Schizosaccharomyces pombe: one gene and its partners. The gene in region 4 interacts genetically with the main gene of each other region. Each region holds a gene or a part of one and is shown on either strand. Other genes may lie near its edges.

Region 1 (4,029 bases), on a different chromosome or scaffold from region 4:
CTTAACCTCGGTGATTTTACCGTAAAGGTCGTCAGCATGGGAGACAGGGGAAGGGAACTTACCAGCCTTGGAAAGACCGGGACCCAACAGACGAGGAATTTGCTTGATGAGGACTTCAGAAGCAATGAAAGCATCATACTTCTTGGCCAACTTCTTGACAAGCTTCTTGTTCTTGTTAAGCTTTTTCAAGTCATCGACGGACATAGCATCGACACCACCGTGCTTGGCACGATCCAAATCATGGGCATCACCGAGAATGCAAATGGCCATGTTGGGACGAGGAACATTGGGCAACTTGATAGTACCGGAGAAACGCTTATCACGTTGAGGGTCATAGTTCTTCAAACCAATTTGAAGCTCGACAGTCTCAGTGAAGTTACGCTTCTTCTCTTCAGAGCCCTTGAGAATTTGCTCGACGTTAGAGCGGACCGAGGCAACGCTGACCTTAGACATGGTGCAATGCTGGTGTTGTGCGGATGCGTGAGGATTTCAGCTACTGAAATTTCATCGTTTGTGTTGCAGTAGAATGACAGTCACATTTAAGAAATAATTAGCATTAGGGTAGGGTCTAGTATATGAACATGCATACTTACTACTTCCAAGGAAATTTAGAATAAGGAGGTGCAAACTAAGTATCATTAGACTATTGTTACGTATACGGGTGATGCACATCGTTATACGGTAAAGATGTTGAAGGAAATCAATCTTAGTGTTGGAATTAAAGTACAAGGATTAATTTGGAGAATATTTATGACCTGGAATATTTGAAAATACATATCATATTAATTAGTGACTAGTCCAAAGGCATTGAAAAATTTATACAAGTGAATTACCCCACAGTATAAGATCAAGTTTATCGTAACTATAGATATGCATCAACTTTATTGAAAGCAATGAGGACAGTAATAAGTATCCTGTATCCAAGAAAGATCATAATCAAGCGAGCATATTTATATAAATCTTCAATGAAACATTGAAGCATCAAGCTGGGCCCATCGACCTGTAAAAAAACAGAGAGGCAATTTATTATAAATAAAGATTACAAACACATAGGAGGAAAACATATGAAAAAAGATGCTTCCATAACGAAACCATCTTGATTGGCGGAAATGCTCAATAAATACGCTTATTGCAAAATAGTAAGAAAGAAAGTAGCGCATCGAAATATTTCAAACATTTTTGCTCTTAAGGTGATTGATGTTTGTTGTCTTTTTAAAGTTAGTAAAAAAATTAAGAATGAGAACAAGTTAAGGCATACCGTTTGAGGCTAAAGACGAGTAGGAAGGAGGAGCAGGACCTGAATGAGGAGATACGGCATGTTCTGGATTAGGAGTATAACGAACGAGGGGATCGTTGGGAGAGTTCTCAATATCCAAACGAACCGTTCTTGGGTACTTAATAACTATGTAAATTGCATGGATGATTCCAGGAATGCCTAAAGCGCACAAGCAAATGTTGATTAGAAAACTAAAATAAAGTCAGCGACGTTGAAAAGGAAAAGACAGCAAAAAAGCCTGGAGGAAAACATACTCTGCGGTGCAAAAGCCCCTTCGAATGCCTACCACGATGAAAGGAACAAAGAAGGAGAGAACAATTAATAAAAAGTCACTAAGTGTAACATTCGACATTTTGAGTGATGCACACAGAGTTTAAAAAAGGTAAAAAAGTGTTAAAGTAAGAAAAGAAGCAAATAATGATTCAGTTGGTGGATTTTTTTAAAACCGACGAGATATATTTGAAAACCCAAAAAATCAGAAAACAGAACGATCCAAGAACAACGAAATCCGTTTACTTAAGATCCAAAAAGGCTTTAAAGTAGGTTCAGTTAGTAAACGTTGTTAATTGCTTTTATAGGTATGTTGCTGGTAAAAGACAAGTATGGTGAATGACGAAATTCAGCCTCACTGAGTGCCAAGCCAACACAGATGTAAACAAAAGGCGTAAAGAACGAAGAAAACATAGTGCACAAGACAATTGAGATAATAGAATCCGATATTTGATTTGAAGTGCCTATCAATATTCGGGACATTCCATTAGATCAGAGAGCCCCAATGAAAGAGTTAATGGCGTTAAAAATTTTAACCATGAAAAAACCTTGGCTTTTGTTTAAATTGTTTCATCCAATATCTCGGTTAACAAAATCTAGTTATTTCCTTGTCTAAATATGGGTACTAAAATTTTTACAATCTACCTATATTATCTCGCTTACATGATTATTGAACCCAATGTCCTCTCATACTCGTTCTTTAACAATAGGTACTTGATCAACCTCGTTTACATTATACTTTACTAAGGAAATAAGACAGGATCAAAAAATCCTTTATGAATACTAACTCTTCAGAATTATAGTATTAATAGCTACTTTTTGATACTATCACTAACTAAAATAATAACGCTTTTCCAATTCGTCAATATGAATGCAGCAAAACATGCAGGTACTTAACCAAAGTCGATTGACTTTCTTAACGTTAAAAAAAAGAACACTTCATAAATATTCCATTACTTTCATACTATGCATTTGCAATACGTATTAGTCACTGCGATGTGCTTACATATCAATTGAAAAGGTACCACAACATTTCGCTTTATCATGGCAGCAATTTATTGATACTATATGAACAGCAAACAATAAAGGAAACTAAAAATTATCGTGTTCTCTCCATTTTGTTCTGCTTACACCCATCTCACCTTTGTTTATTAAATAGTGATTTATTAGTGCGATGTCTAAAATGAGCGTTTTACTAACGCCAACATCTTAAAATACGGTATTAGAAAGAGCGTATCGTTATTTAACTACATTGCTATCAGCAATACTGCACTATAATATTACACTACGCTACATATCACTATATGTCACATGTTCTAATGTCCTGTTTGCTTCATTTACTTTATATGATAAGTTATCAAACAAATTATAATATCATCCATGGTAATATGACTACCAAGCCTTTTTCAATATTGTAAATTCTGATCAACTAAACTGAGGAACGAAGTTCAGTTATAAGTTAGATTAAGTGATAGGTAGCAATGAAACCTACATACTAGAATACATTTACCAAGTTGCTACTTGCATTACCTGTGTAATGCAATATATGATCATAAGGAAAACTAACCACAAGTTCTACGTATCGTTAAACAAATACCAAACTGCGTAATTGACATGATTTGCGAAGTGACTTGTAGTGTCATATTTTATTACACAGTAACAAAATACTTCGAGATCTCTATTAATGCATAAGGAAAGCTAAGTTAGGGTGAATAAAAAGGGCAGTGACAAAATAAATGTGTCAGAAGCAATTACACTAAAATGAGTTTTGGAAATCTACTTTTCACTTGCTATTATTGAAGAAACAGTTTGCTTTGAAACGAGTATTGTTCATTTATTTATATTGAACGGCGGGAACTGAACTCCAGAGTGAATATTCTTGATTTTGCTGTTTCGTTTGTCGCAATCATAGCAATTAATTCGCGCATGTGTTTTATTAAATAAAGAATGATCTTGATGAAATGAAGAATAATTGCACTTCCTTGAAAAGTTCTATAGATGAGGAAGATGAATTGAAGACAGATCATGAAATCGATTTGGAAAAAGGGCTACTCCCAGAATATGATTCAAAGGAAGAAGGCGCATTACCTCTATATTCAGGTAAGAATTGTAAATAATAAGAAAGGAATTATTCAATTGAAAGTTGTAACTTGCCATTGCTGTAAAATAACTTGGATGTGATCATTGTTTACAGTTGGCCATGCAATGCACACACTTTGATACATGCTTTTTCTTAACTAAAGTCTTTCAATCATATTAATTTAAACAGATCATGCACGTTTAAGCAATTCTCCTAACACACATAGAGAAAACAATCCTTCCAGGTCGACAGATAATTCTTCCCCTTTGTTGATAAAACTGCTAATATCATTCACTTCAATCATTCTATTCAATGCTCCAGCAGTTTGTTATCTAAAGTATAAGGACGCTTTTTTTAAAAATTATGGTGCAGCGGAATGGACATTATTTGGATTTTGGTGTCT
Region 2 (4,080 bases), 2.5 Mb from region 4:
ACTCTGTATTCGTCTAATTTCAGTTGGTGAAAAAACTCCTGGTATATATCAACATGCAATCAAACAGTATGGAGAAGCATTTGAGGTTGTTCCTAGGACTATTTCAGAAAACGCTGGATTAGATCCTACTGATGTTATTAGCAAACTTTATGCTGCCCATCATAAGGAAAACGGTGAATCAATTGGAGTTGATGTTGAATGTGAAAATGATGGAACATTAGATGCGAAAGAAGCTGGTATATTTGATGTTTTATTAGCAAAAAAATCAGCAATTAGATTAGCAACTGAAACTGTACTCACTGTTTTAAACGTTGATCAAGTTGTTATGTCTAAACCAGCTGGAGGTCCAAAACCACCTGGCCCCAACCCTCATTGGGATGATGATTAAAATTTAAGTGAGTTTCATTTTTCTACTAGGATTGGATTAAAACGATGAATAGTTTTTGTAAAAATCTGCTACTAATTTTCTATTGAAATTAAAAGCGCGTTATCAAAATAATTAGGTACAGACATAATCCATTGAAGTAAGACATTTATCATTAAAGGTCTCTAAATCGTAACGTTCTCTAATAACGGTAAAGTAAAGTTGCCATGTTTATTAAAATCTTTTAACAATTCAGTCGGTGTGCTGCGCTGGTCTCTATTTTTGAGAAGTTTTTTCACAAATAAGCGGAACCGCCATGAAGGATCGTCGTTATCATTAGTATTTCCAGTAGATCTTTTGAATGGCGATTTGCATAAGTGCCATGTATAATCACATCTTACAAGCCTTTGAACATAACGTTTGATCCTTACATTCTCAGGATCCAAAGTTGGGTAGGAGTCAAAGGGAAGACGACCCTCTAATAGTGCAAATAAAACTATTCCGAGAGACCAAGCGTCCGCGCGAAATCCATCATGTGCAATACCCATATAAACTTCCGGTGGTGCATATTCTTGGCTGCCGCAGCTGGATTGCACTAAATGATTTTTACTGTCAACAAAAATAGAAAGCTCAAAGTCAGAAATCTGAATTAAAGCATTTGGGTAGTTCTTCCAATTATCAATCGTCTTTATAACATTATAAGGTTGGGTAAGCAATATATCTAAAGACAAAGTGTTAGTTTAAAATCATAACTGTAAAAGTTGAAAATCCTTATTCATCGAGCTTACTTTCAAGTTTTAAATCTCTATGAATCAAACATTTGGAATGAAGGTAAGCAACTGTATGTACTAACTCAGAAAAAATTCGCCCAACAAATTCAAGGCTGAAATCCGAATGATGTTTTTTAGTGTAATGATAGAGATCTCCTCCCATACAATAATTCTCTACGAGTATTAATTCGGCGGAGGAAACGTAGTAATTTAATAGCTGCACAACACATGGATGCGACAAAGTTTTGAGGGCCCAAATTTCTTGCCGAAATACTTTTACTCTAGCTTTTTTTTCGTTTTGAGACTTGGATGATAAGTGAGTATGTTTTAGGACGATGGAAGTATCAAACTTCTTATTATTAGATTTGACAAGCAGTACTTCCCTTTGTTCCGTAGAGGTGATTTTAGTATTTATAGACCACAAATATTTCTCATTCTCGTCTGAATATAAAGCATATCCTCTACTTCTGCCTAATTGAAGAGAATACAATGATTTTTTTTGTATATTAGTTAAGCCAAAAATTAAATCGGAAAAAGTCTCTAAATCTCTATTAAATGGAGCATAGTTAGAAATTTCTAGTTTAGTTAAATCGTTCGTCAATGATTCAGATATATCAGTCTCAGACGGAAGAGCTGAAATATTCGGATTTACATGACGAATTTTATTTGAAAGAGGATATAGTTGCAGCGATTTTTCTTCGCAAGAATGTTTTTTTTCAGACATTAAAAGCCCATTCTTCCTAGATAGGGCTCAACTTTCTTCGAAATATACAAAATTCCAAAAACGGCTTCGATAGGATGAAGTCAGGTACTGACGCATATAAAAGGTTAGGATAGGTATTCTAAAAATGCTTATTGACTAAGACTGCCACATTGATTGACAGTTTAAAAAAAAAAAGAAAAATAATGAAAACTAAGCATTACATTTCATGGATTTCAGCTATCACCATATAGACCAGCTGCACTAGAGTCGTCCGAAGAGGGAGAACTATCTTTTCCATAGATATCTGAGTCTTCTGGTAATTCTTTAGATTCCTCTTCATTTTCTTCTTTTCTCTGGCTTTTAAATAATGATGTTTCTTCTTCTTCTTGGGAATAGGGTCCACTGGCAGGAGGAGGAAGAGGAGAGAGATTGTCTTCAGATGGATTTTCGACAATATTGGAAGTATATGGTACGCTGTTAATGCTTGGAGAGTAAGAATCTACTTGAGGAGAATAAGCATCATCACTGTTTGGAGAACTAGACGGAGGTGATGTTGTTTCTACATTATGTTTGCCAGCAGTAGAACTTTTATCTCCAAAACCTGCATCGGTCAAGGTAGAGGTAGCTGTTGTACTTTCCTTATTCTCTAAATTAGAAATTATGGATTCAACAGATTTTAGGCTCTCTTCTTCCTCTGAAAGTAGCTTTTTTTGTTCTTCTATAAGCGATTCCAAGGAAGTAATGAGTGTGGATCGGGATTCGATGCAAGCCTGATAATTACCTTTACATGATTCAGAGGCTTTATTTAGTTGCTTTTTATAATTATCGAGTAGTTCAGAATAATCTGATTGTTTCTCCAAGTATGATTTATACAATGCATCTACCACAGTTTTGGTAGAGTGAGCAGATTTTGCGTATAAACTAGTTTGTGTCATTAAACGAGTGTAAGGTGCCTATGCAATTAGTAAAGTTCTGATATTTTATTTGAATTGCGGCATACCCATTCCGGAGGGCCAACGGGGTAATAGTTAGAATGGCCACTGTTCTCGGCATTATTAAACCTTTCCTGCAAGGATAAAAGTATCTCCTTAGAAAATATGCCGCGTTGACACCAAACGTCAAAAACGTATTTGATTTTTGTTTTAATGGAAGCAGGAACTGACGCGTACGCGTCAGCTACAGAGTTTACGACATACTATGCAAATATTATTAGAATCTAAACCATATAGGAGATGTTCCAAGCTCATAATGATAGTAACTTACTGGAGAAACGGCATCAATATATTCAGATATTTTTTTGACCCGGGATTGTTGAACGACTTCGTTGAGCAGGTAAAGCAATAAAAGCTTTTTGTTGGAAGAAGCTGGTTAAATTAGTTAGACAATCGAACAAATTCCTAAAGGAGTCATACATTCATACAAAGCTTCCAGCCATATTTGGACAATTTCATCAGCATAACGCTTGTGAAACATAACCCAATGCGCTATTCCCGTTATACTTTCTTGTGTTTCATTTAGAGTAGCCAACTTTGAAGAAACAGTGTCTGGAGTCAAAGCCATCTTGTTTTATGCTGATGGTGAGTTTCTTACGACACACTGCTGTTAGCATCGCAAACGAAATCATAAGCATAAGTAATAAATACTTCTTGTATAATATCAATGTTTTACATTATAGCCTATACTTAAAATGATTTTGAAACAACAGATTAATTAGTTTGGGTAGAGCAAAAATCTTCGTCTCATTTGTAAAGATGGAAAAGAACATTTATTATTCTCAAACTACCCAGTTTTCTCCAAGATTCCCTCTTAAATATTAGGTATATAAAATACATTATTCGTTTTCTCATGATTTTGTTTAGTCTCAGCAGGTCATCTTAGCTAACGGCTATCACTCACTGTAACATTTACAGTACGAGTTTTGGTAAGAATGCTAGACGAAATCTTGTGATGTTATATGTTGGGGATTATGAAAAGAAACTATTCGGCGTGTTGAGAAATGTGTACGGAGTGCAAATGTGTGTTTTAATGACTTGTCTGAAGCAGGAATTACTATATACTACTCACCGCATTGAGACTTTGTTTTTGCTTCCCTTGTATTACTATAAACTATGGCATATACTTACGTAAAAAATTATATAATAAACTAATTGTTCGTTTGAAATCGTATTTATTTGTCAACCGGGCAGGCAAAGCAGTAAAGATGTTCTGAAATTGAACGATAATACGAGTTTCAAAAAAAATAA
Region 3 (5,949 bases), on a different chromosome or scaffold from region 4:
TAAGTATTGATATTATTACTTAATGGTTACTCGTACTAATATTTTCCAGAAAGTATCTGCTTCTCCTAGTGTCGCATCTACAAAAACTTCGAATCCTCCGGTAGAAGCACCCCCTTCTAACAATCTTATGGATGCATTGGCAAGCGCTTTGAACCAACGTAAAACCAAAGTCGCTCAGAGTGGTATGTCCGGATTTCTCGTATTTTTTTTCAAAAGTTCTTAAGTTTACTAATTCTTTCAGACGAAGAGGATGAAGACGACGATGAGTGGGACTAGTTATTAATATCTTTGAAATTACCTATACTTTTTTGATTCACACAGTCTTTTAAAGTTTTGTTAAACGACTTCACTATTTTTATTTGGATTTGTGTTTATTGTATTAGAGCAAACACCATTTATTCTAAATTGAATAACGCGAATTTGTGTTGATATTACTATTCATATATCGCAACACAGTGTGTATCTTTACTTTATTGTAAGTATGGGAGCAGTCACACATTTCGGTACCACAACTTTAGAAACGTCAAGTTCAAGTCCTTCCACAACCAAAAACGTTTGGTCAAATAGAAACAAATGGATCCCTCCAAATTGGCTAAGTTGCAGGCTGGCGCTCGTATTGGTATGTTCGAATGCATCCCCGTGTTTTGAAGTTGACACCAGCTCTAAGAAATGCCTTGAACGGTTTCAAAGTGGTTCCACTGTAATTGATGCTGGCTATTGAAAACACAGTTGTACTTTTTTCATAGAGAACTGCTTAATTAACTTATCATTGTATAGGTGGAAAGGGTACCCCTCGTCGTAAGGTGAAGAAGCCTTCTAAGTCTGCCATGAGTGCTGCTGATGACAAGAAGGTTCAAGGTGCCTTGAAAAAGTTGAATATGCAAAACCTTGCTGGCATCCAAGAGGTTAACATGTTCAAGGAAGATGGCGGAGTCATTAATTTCCGTGCACCTACCGTTCATTCCTCGCTTCCTAATGAAACTACAGCTATCTATGGTAAAGCAGAGGAAAAGACTTTGTCTGAGATTTTGCCTGGCATTTTGAACAACCTTGGTCCTGAATCCTTGACTGCCCTTCGTCAAATGGCTGAGCAATTAAAGGTCAGTGAAGGTGAAAAGGGAGCTGATGCACAAGCCGACGATGGAGAAATTCCTGACCTTGTCGAAAAGTTTGACGAACAAGATTAAATAAGCAACAAAATATTTCATGTCGGATTTTTGACTCAAGATTTGGGTGCTAATATATGTAAAGTGACTATGGTATTATCAGTAATTTGAAAAATCGTAATTATGTAATTCGTAAGATAAAGATTTTAGCAAATTTAAGTGCAGTAAGCGAGGGATATACTGACGCTTTGTAAATGCACGTTGGCAAGGTACAAGAGGTCTCTCTTGTACTTGTTAAGGTTATACAATTCAACCATTTTCAATATATAGTTTTCTTTGATTAATTTGGTTAAAAAATCTTTGCTGTCATTTTCCTTATAAGTAAGCTTGGCAATAATCTTTTTAAAGATGGTTTGGACTTATTCAAGAATTGCGGAAATTAGCCTACGTTAAGCATTTACTTCGTATTGTTAATAGGAATCGCTAATTTCAATAAACTAAATTTTCGATGCGGCGTGGTAGGCAATTATTGCAGAACACCCACGTTCCACAGTAAGTGCATCTCCCCCACACGATTGTCGCCGCTACCCCCGCTCAGCTGTATTTGTCGTTATTTATTGCAACGGCGTTATTGTTACGTTTTTCCACCTAAAACCTTTACAACAAACAGATTTGCTGGTTGTTAAAAGATAACAAGGATTTTTTACTTTAAGAGAGAAAGTGCTAAAATTATGAATTCAGAAGCAAGTGTATTTAGTAATATGGATTGGTAAGTTTTTTTCCTGGGATTTACCACATTTTACGATTTTCAAAAAATTGCGTTTCTGATACGCTTGAAATACTTTGAGTTTCAAATTGCCTTGTACTAACAACTTATGTTTTGTAGGAGCCAGCTGGCACATTCGTTACATAAAAAAGCAAATAACTCGAGTTCTTCAACAACTGGTGCTTTTCCTCAGTTAACATCTTTTACTAAACCTACTGCCACAAATGGAGTGGATTCTCCTACATCGTCTCATATTGACCCTTCTGTTTCTGCAAAATTGGATTCACAAAGAAAACTGTCTTTAAAAAGTGGCAATATGTGGGACTCTTTAAATGCACCTTCTGAATTGACTAGCAAAAATCCTACAGTATCGTCAACAACCTCATCAGCAAACCCAGCCATTGTTTCAAATGGTGGTTCTCCTTTTTATAAAAATCCAGTTGTTGCAAATAATCCAAGTAGCACCTTTGATATGTCTACCAATTTGTTTAATTCTAAAAATGCCAACACCTCTTTTACAAACGCTTTTTCTAATGAGGGCATATCTCCTGGATTTTTAAGGGATTGTTTTCCATCCTCGAATTCTATAACAACGGGCACAGCTTCTCCCAAACTGGGGAGCCCTTTTAATCATATCAATCGTCCTGTATTAGATCGCAGCCCTTCTTCATTTTCTCAAAGTCGCTCAGCGGTTTCTGGTAATATGAATCCCGGTGTTGGGACTTTGCAACAGCCGCAGCGTGCTGGTTCTGATACTTTTCCTGACTTGAACACTTCTTCAAGCAATCAACCAGGTGGGGAACCGAATGTTGCTTCAGCTAATACTCATTCTCTTGAAATTCTATCAAGCTCTGCTTACCATCCTTCTGGATCATCAAATGGAATATCTGCAGGTTTAACACAATCCGTGGCTTCTCCTGTTGGACAGGTTGATAATCTCGCAGATTTCTCTCAGTCCCCACTACGCAGAGGTCCATCTCGATTTCCCACTAATTCCAACGTTCCAGTGGGAAATTCAATGAGTATTAGAGACACTGATTCTCCACTAAATATTCTTGTTGATAAGGCCAAAGCTAAAGCATCTATTAAAGAGAACGCGTCCCAACCTGTTGCACCAAGCGCATCTCAACGTGAGCATTCTGCTGTCAATAGTCCTGCGGCTGCTATGTCTCCCTCTACAGCTATGTTTTCTTCGGAGGCGTTTCCTCAGCACTTGGCTTCGTTAATTCCTCCCGCTCTTCTGCATTGGCTTTATAAAGACCCTCAAAATAATGTCCAAGGCCCCTTTACTGGAGTAGATATGCATCAATGGTATAGAGCTGGTTATTTTCCTCTTGGCTTGCCAATAAAGAGGCTAGAAGAAGAAGAGTATTACTCTCTTGCCTTTTTTATTCGTCAGGTGGGCAACCAGTTGGAACCCTTCTTGGTTCCTCTATCACCTGTAACTGTTCAAAACGCCTCTTGGAATGCTCAAGGAACCGATCTTCCTTTGAGCAATTATCTTCCGGAGAGCTCTGAACAAAATAGAGGTGGAAACAAACACCTTGAATTATATCCCAGTACTGCGGAAGTTTCAAATGTTAGAAATGATGAATCAAAAGCAAACTCGTTATCTGAGATTTCCTATAATCAGCAATCCGAGTGCCGAAGTTCTGAGCTCAATGTTAATGAAGACAGTGCTAACCAAAAGGAGGAATCGGCCCTTGGTACTTCTGACAACTCTGATATGTATGAAAAAGAAAACACTCCCATTCATCATAATGAATCGTTAAATCAATTGTCAAAAGATCTCGGTTCTATCAGTCTCTCTGAGGAAACTAAGCAAGAAAAGCCGTCGAAGCTTAAGGAAACTGTTGAATCGAAAAGACTTTCTACGGGTGTGCAAAAACAGTCTCCTGCAGCTTCGAAAGAAATCCCCGTTACTAGCGGATCACAAACTACGGCTCCAAAGCCTTCTCCTTGGAAATCTCTTCCTCCTAAGCATTTACCTTCTCTCGATGAGACTATAAGTAGGGAAATGAGTATTGCTAGTTCTGAAGCGCTTCCTCAAGTTGAAAAATCTAACAGCGATCAACCACCTGTCGCCATTCCTAGCACTTCAAAAACCGGTTCACCTTGGGCTAAAGTTAGTGATGTGTCTACTTCAATGGCTCAAGAAATTCAACGCATGGAAAAACAAAATGAGAATTTGAAAAGCAAAGTTGCTTCCAATCCTGTTTCACAAACTTCCACAAATGCCAAAGCTTCCACACCAGCTCTTGCTTCAGGCTCCATTTGGGGAAGCCCGTCTGTAATAAATGCGTGGGCCAACAAGCCAGCTGCTCTCAAGTCTCCGTTGATAAAGAAAAATATTCAGCAAGCTGAGCTTGCCCAAAACAAACAGCAATCTTCCGTTACTACTGCCAGTCCTCGTTCTAATGCATTAAATGCTAACACTCCAAAGGCAGCTGCCCCTTCTAGTAATGTTACAATGAAAAATGTAACATCTATATTAGAAACCTCTACGTTCGAAGGCGAGGATACATGGTCTGTAGTTGGACCTGGTGGGAAAATCGTTAATCAGCAATCTCCTTCTGCTCAACAAACGACTCGTTCTCCCTCTAAAGTTTCGGCTACATTAAATGCTGGTAATTCTCAAGCATCTACTTCATCAAAATTACAACAAGTTGTGTCAATGTCGGGTCATTCGCCGGACTTTTTAGCATGGTGCAAGATTTCTTTGAAAGGTTTGAATGAAGGTGTTAATTACGAAGAATTTCTCGATATGTTACTTTCTTTGCCAGCTGAAAATAATGTTGAAACTTTTGAGATTATCTCGGATTCCATTTATGCTAATAGTACTATTATGGATGGACGTCGCTTTGCTAGTGAGTTTACTCGCCGTCGTATAGCCGATTTAACTGGCAAAGATGGGCAACAATCTAACAATAAGTCTCAATCAGAGTTGGGTAACTCTAGTGGTGCTTGGAGTCAGGTTGTTCGTAACAAGCCAAAGCAAGGTACTGAATGGAATTCGGCGTTTAAAGTGGTTACTAGTAAAAAAAACAAAAAGCGGGTATAATTTGAATCTTTTGAGTTGATGTTTTGTGATCTTGCATGGATACAATAAAAATCGGTTTCGGTTGTATAATATTGGAGTGCTAAAAATTTTAAGTTAATAATCCATATTTCAAATATATATAATATTTGTACATTTGTTGAACTTGTATTGTTAAGCTGGTGAACGAACAATGTAGAGGTTATAAGTGTTCTTGACCAGTTCTTACTAAACCGATTTTGTAGTACACAAATTTATTATGGAGGATACTGTAGTTAACTATTATGTAATTTTAAAAAAAAAATACTACCAAAATATTATTATTCTAGTTTAACATAATTTTAACTTAATGGTATTTTTAGTGCTAAATATAAATATAACGGCAAACTGATCAGTCAATTTGCATTCACGTATTTAGGAGCAAGTGTATCATTTCTTTGACATAAATGTAAAGCTGGCATGAAGGAAAGAGGCTCAACGCATAGTGACAAACTTAAACCCTTATAATTCATTAATACTCGGGCAATTGCATGGGCTCAAGGGCTAACAAAACATCAAATACAATATTTTGAGCTTTAGAAAAGATTTTCAGCTTGCCGGACGATGTTAGAATGGCACAATCAGTGTTCACTTTGGAAAGTGAGAATACTGAGTTTGTCAAATCTAAAGAAGTACACCTTTTGATATGTTCCATAAGAATTGGGTAGAAAAATGAGGAGCTACGGAAAATTTTTTTTAAATCTTCAGGTCTTATGGAAATTGTGACTGATGAAAGATTAGGATTTCCGGTTGTCCAGGTCAACTCAAGCGGGAGGGCTGTTTGACTATTTACATGATTTTGCCAAATTTTCAAAAACTCTAAAAGTATTTCTGGAGCAATTAGGCATGGTAAAATTTGTGTATCAAATTCCTGCTGGAGGAACTGCTCAACGGCCATCCATAGCGCCCCATCCATACGAACAAGAGCTAATGAAAAGAATACAGAATTCCCTTCAAGCGATAAACGTGTTCTGTCAGCCTCCGCGTGGGAGAACTTCCGA
Region 4 (4,234 bases):
GAATATCGCAAAACAATCTGAGTCACTTGGAAGTGTGCTTTTTGGCGACCGTCTCTACAACTCTCCCATTGAAATAAAAATGCTTGAAAACCAGGATTGTGTTCCCTTGTGTGCCTCGATAATTCCCAGTTCAGATGTCAGTTTTATTAGAGATTTAATCTCCAAAAACTACGTTGTTAACTGGAACATAGATAATCTGCCCGTAGCAACATATTTAGAAGGGACTAACTCAAAGAACTACTCATTATCGCCAGGCTTTCCATTAGGCAAGAATACGGAGAAGGGAGTAATTCTATTCAATCATTATGATATAGTTATAGAATATCATACGACATCTAGTGACCAACACCGTGTTGTGGGTGCTTATGTAAAACCTGTCTCAAAGGAGTCTACTTTAGTTGATGGAAACCCAGTTTGTTCTTCGTCTTCAAATCCACAGTATTTACCGGAAGGAGCTGATCTTACTCTCGTGACCTCTTACTCAGTCTCTTGGAAATATTCCGATACTCCATGGGCTACCCGATGGGACAAATATATGCACATTGAATCTAGGCAAATTCGATGGATCTTTATTATCCATTCCGCAATTATTGACACATTTCTAATTTTTGTGGTTTCTATTATTTTGTACAGAACGCTAAATCGTGACATTAATAAATATAATAGCGCCTTTGTCGATCAAGAAGATGTTCAAGAAGATTTTGGTTGGAAGCTAGTTCATGGTGATGTATTTCGTCCACCTCGTAGACCCATGCTATTTTCTATCCTTTTAGGGACTGGTGCACAACTTCTTTTTATGAGCTCTGGTATCGTTTTATTTGCAATTTTTGGCATTGTTGCACCCTCTCGTCGTGGAAGTTTAGCTACAGCAACGGTGGCCTTATTCATTATATCAGGTTTCGTTTCTGGTTATGTATCTGCATTATCCTACAAACTGATGCAAGGTATGCTTAGAAAGCGAAATCTTCTGTTAACTCCTTTTGTCGTACCTGGTTTTATGCTTGCGGCAGCTCTTTTCTTTAACATGGTATTTTGGAGTAAAAGTTCATCATCAACTGTACCCTTTTCAAGCTGGCTTCTACTCATTTTCCTGTATCTATTGTTTACTGTACCATTAAGCTTTGTCGGTTCTTTAATCGGCTTTCGTTCTCGAGAGTTCGTCCCACCTGTTAGGACAAACCAAATCCCTCGTCAAATTCCATCTCATAGTATTTGGCTTTCGAGTTTTCCTAGTGCGATTATCGGTGGATCTATACCATTCCTCGTAATCCTTATTGAATTGTTTTCTATCCTTGACAGTTTATGGTTTCACCCATTGTATTTCATGTTCGGTTTCTCGTTCTTTTGCTTCGGTATTTTAGTAACCACTTGTATCATGGTTTCCATTATCACTGTTTATTTCCAATTGTGTTCCGAAAACTACAACTGGTGGTGGCGCTCTTTCATAACACCTGGATTTTGTGGAATCTATGTATTTATATTTTCAGTATTTTACTGGTTTTTTAAAATCTCATCATCTTCCCTTGCTACTGCCGTTCTTTATTTCGGCTATAGTTTACTGATTTCTGTTTTGGTATTTTTCTTATGTGGATCGGTTGGTTTCTTTGGCGCCTTTCTCTTTGTTAACAAAATTTATGCGTCCATTAAAATTGATTGATTATTCGAGGCATTTGTACATACCTCTTTATTTATTGTTCAATTTGAGCTTTCTCCGTTACAAACCTTATTAATCAACAAAATGACTTGGAGAACACTCTCTTTTATATTCAAATAATTTCATAGGAATATGCCGTTTTTTTTCGGTCATCCAATATATAACTACAGTTTGTTTTACTTTGTGTAATAAAACCTTAGGTACTATATCATAGAAGAAATTTGAAAATTGTAATCTTAACCAAAATGTTTACTTAGAGTAAATTAAATTTATGTTTTCTACGTTAAAAGCTTTATTATATGTTACATAAATAATACAAAAAAGGAATATTACTCTAACTATATTTACGAAGCTCGCCCAAACCTTTTTCAACTACCAGTATTTCGCCTTCAGCTCAACCCTACTTTAAAAATTGTCTTTATATTACTTTTTCTCAGTTTACCAAATATTTAGAACGTAATTATTAAAATATCGGAAGTATGCCTTCTTCTGCTAGTGAACAACTTCTTCGAAAACAACTAAAGGTAAGCGCACGAAATCTTCATATCCAAATATTCATGATTGTACATAGTATCTTAATTCTTGAACACATACTGATAGATATAGGAAATTCAAAAAAATCCTCCACAGGGTTTTAGCGTTGGTTTAGTCGATGATAAATCCATTTTTGAATGGGAAGTTATGATCATTGGACCAGAAGATACATTATATGAAGGTGGTTTTTTCCATGCAACATTATCGTTTCCTCAAGTATGTATTTATGTTTCACAGAAAAATAATATTTGTTGTATAAGGTAAACAAGCTGGTCACTAACCTCGAAAAATTAGGATTATCCTCTGATGCCTCCAAAGATGAAGGTATAGTAAATACATTGATTTTTTAATTGATAGAAACTACATAGTCTATGCCTAAAAACGATTCTAACGGTAACAGTTCACAACGGAAATTTGGCACCCTAATGTTCATCCGAATGGCGAAGTTTGCATATCGATTCTTCACCCACCAGGAGATGACAAGTATGGATACGAGGATGCTGGAGAACGTTGGCTTCCGGTACACTCTCCGGAAACCATATTGATTAGTGTAATTTCCATGCTTTCTTCCCCTAATGATGAGTCCCCTGCCAATATAGATGCTGCCAAGGAATTTCGAGAAAATCGTGAGTATATACTAACCTACAAACAAAAAAATTTACTCTTTAATAATCAAATCGTACTAACTTTTTCCAGCACAAGAATTTAAGAAAAGAGTTCGTCGACTTGTTCGCAGGTCAATTGAAATGATTTGAAGATAATGTTCAACCTAGGTCCCTAATTTCCTATATTTAGAAAAAAGGCTATGAAGGAAATTCAAGTCGCTGCATAGAAAACCTCCTAAGTCAACTAGCAGTAAAGCTTACTCAAAAAGTCTGTAGCTTTACAAGTTGAATTGCATATTTTATGCCATCTTTGAAGTATTGCCGTTGCCCATTTTTTGAATAAGTTTAGCAAACTGTTCATTTATTATCACATATAATGAAATATTGGCAGAACGGTTGACATTTTAAAACTAACAGCTTTTGATTCTTTTCTGTTTTTATTATAAAGCTTTCAAGTTTTTCAAGTGTTACAACCGCAAGTGATTTATCCTACTTCTTTACCAATTACAGCCATAATTTAGATAAACAACAAATAAAAATCTACATTTCACGATTGAATTTTTTTCTTTGAACAAACGTCAGCTAATACTTCGTGAATTGATAGTTTTCCATTGAAAATTTTCTATTCAAGTAATTATTTTCGCTTATACGCTCATACTTTATCAGCGACGGTTTCAATTCCGCGTTTTGCACAACATACATTGAATGCAGCGATAAATCTCAGTCTATTATATTTTACACTAACTAGCTCAATGTCTCCTACGTATCCGAATGACTGATTCAATGATTAATCAAACCAATTAAAGAATCTAGCGAAACTTCGTTGAGTTTGAAAATTAAATACTCAGAGTAACCATTTAAGATGAATATTAAAATTGCATTAAGAACCGTGAAAGCATTGCCTTTTCATTTAGCGTTTTTTTATTGCATTATGCTTAAACTTTTCAGAATGACAATTAATATTACGCTATTCCGCAGTATGGTGGTGTTCACACTGGTTCAAATGCGTATATGGAACGTAGACAGCTATTAGGTCAAATCAGATATTAATAGCTTTTATCATTGTCATTTCTCCCTTAACTATTTGCAAGTCGAAAAAAATCCAATTTTAGCTCATGCACAGCGTTCTGCAGTAAACATGCCTCTGGCATTCACAAATCCCGGTACACCTCTAAAACGTACAGCTGCCTACGACAATGTACAATGGAACCAAAATCGAATATTAGTAAGTGAATGGACGCAAACGATATGCGTTTGTCTGCTAGTGGTTAAACTGCAGAACGAAAGCAGCATGTCAAAGTATTGTTTCCAATTGAAGTAATTGTTTAACTAAATGGTAGACATTTGGAACTCGCTATACCGTATTAATTATTGTAAATAACTACGAATCTTATCAAAATATACAATTTGGAGAGTCTATTGGTGCAGTGGCTTTGGACCA

Evidence for each region.
Region 1: mutations in ubc15 (region 4) and pmp31 together harm fitness less than expected from each alone (positive genetic interaction), as found in Schizosaccharomyces pombe (one large-scale study listed by BioGRID).
Region 2: mutations in ubc15 (region 4) and ppk27 together harm fitness more than expected from each alone (negative genetic interaction), as found in Schizosaccharomyces pombe (one large-scale study listed by BioGRID).
Region 3: mutations in ubc15 (region 4) and mpd2 together harm fitness less than expected from each alone (positive genetic interaction), as found in Schizosaccharomyces pombe (one large-scale study listed by BioGRID).

The regions. Positions count from the first base shown.
Region 1 is NC_003421.2:612,098-616,126, forward strand, and holds pmp31 (plasma membrane proteolipid Pmp31), read right to left. Parts: upstream 1,868-4,029; 5' UTR 1,629-1,867; coding exon 1,531-1,628; exon of another isoform or gene 1,470-1,530; intron 1,468-1,469; coding exon 1,259-1,467; intron 1,209-1,258; coding exon 1,186-1,208; 3' UTR 663-1,185; downstream 1-662. Other genes in the region: rpl101 (60S ribosomal protein uL1), read right to left, coding at 1-453; wtf antidote-like meiotic drive suppressor Wtf10, read left to right, coding at 3,508-3,646, 3,816-4,029.
Region 2 is NC_003423.3:1,034,855-1,038,934, reverse strand, and holds ppk27 (serine/threonine protein kinase Ppk27), read right to left. Parts: upstream 1,859-4,080; coding exon 1,153-1,858; intron 1,086-1,152; coding exon 550-1,085; downstream 1-549. Other genes in the region: chaperonin-containing T-complex theta subunit Cct8, read left to right, coding at 1-388; rhn1 (RNA polymerase II transcription termination factor), read right to left, coding at 2,071-2,790, 2,838-3,032, 3,101-3,201, 3,250-3,397.
Region 3 is NC_003424.3:4,855,857-4,861,805, reverse strand, and holds mpd2 (GYF domain protein), read left to right. Parts: upstream 1-1,752; 5' UTR 1,753-1,837; coding exon 1,838-1,875; intron 1,876-1,992; coding exon 1,993-4,933; 3' UTR 4,934-5,076; downstream 5,077-5,949. Other genes in the region: wsp1 (actin assembly factor), read left to right, coding at 50-182, 242-276; btf3 (nascent polypeptide-associated complex beta subunit), read left to right, coding at 574-619, 778-1,187; kinetochore protein fta1, read right to left, coding at 5,421-5,949. UniProt on the Schizosaccharomyces pombe protein: Has a role in mRNA export from the nucleus.
Region 4 is NC_003423.3:3,520,742-3,524,975, forward strand, and holds ubc15 (ubiquitin-conjugating enzyme Ubc15), read left to right. Parts: upstream 1-2,028; 5' UTR 2,029-2,133; coding exon 2,134-2,178; exon of another isoform or gene 2,179-2,260; coding exon 2,261-2,404; exon of another isoform or gene 2,405-2,407; intron 2,408-2,482; coding exon 2,483-2,512; intron 2,513-2,529; exon of another isoform or gene 2,530-2,588; coding exon 2,589-2,814; exon of another isoform or gene 2,815-2,884; coding exon 2,885-2,943; 3' UTR 2,944-3,404; downstream 3,405-4,234. Other genes in the region: EMP70 family endosomal transport protein Emp70, read left to right, coding at 1-1,657; RAVE complex subunit Rav1, read left to right, coding at 3,932-4,018, 4,134-4,234. UniProt on the Schizosaccharomyces pombe protein: Catalyzes the covalent attachment of ubiquitin to other proteins. Has a role in the formation of chromatin structures that influence the localization of transcriptional silencing factors.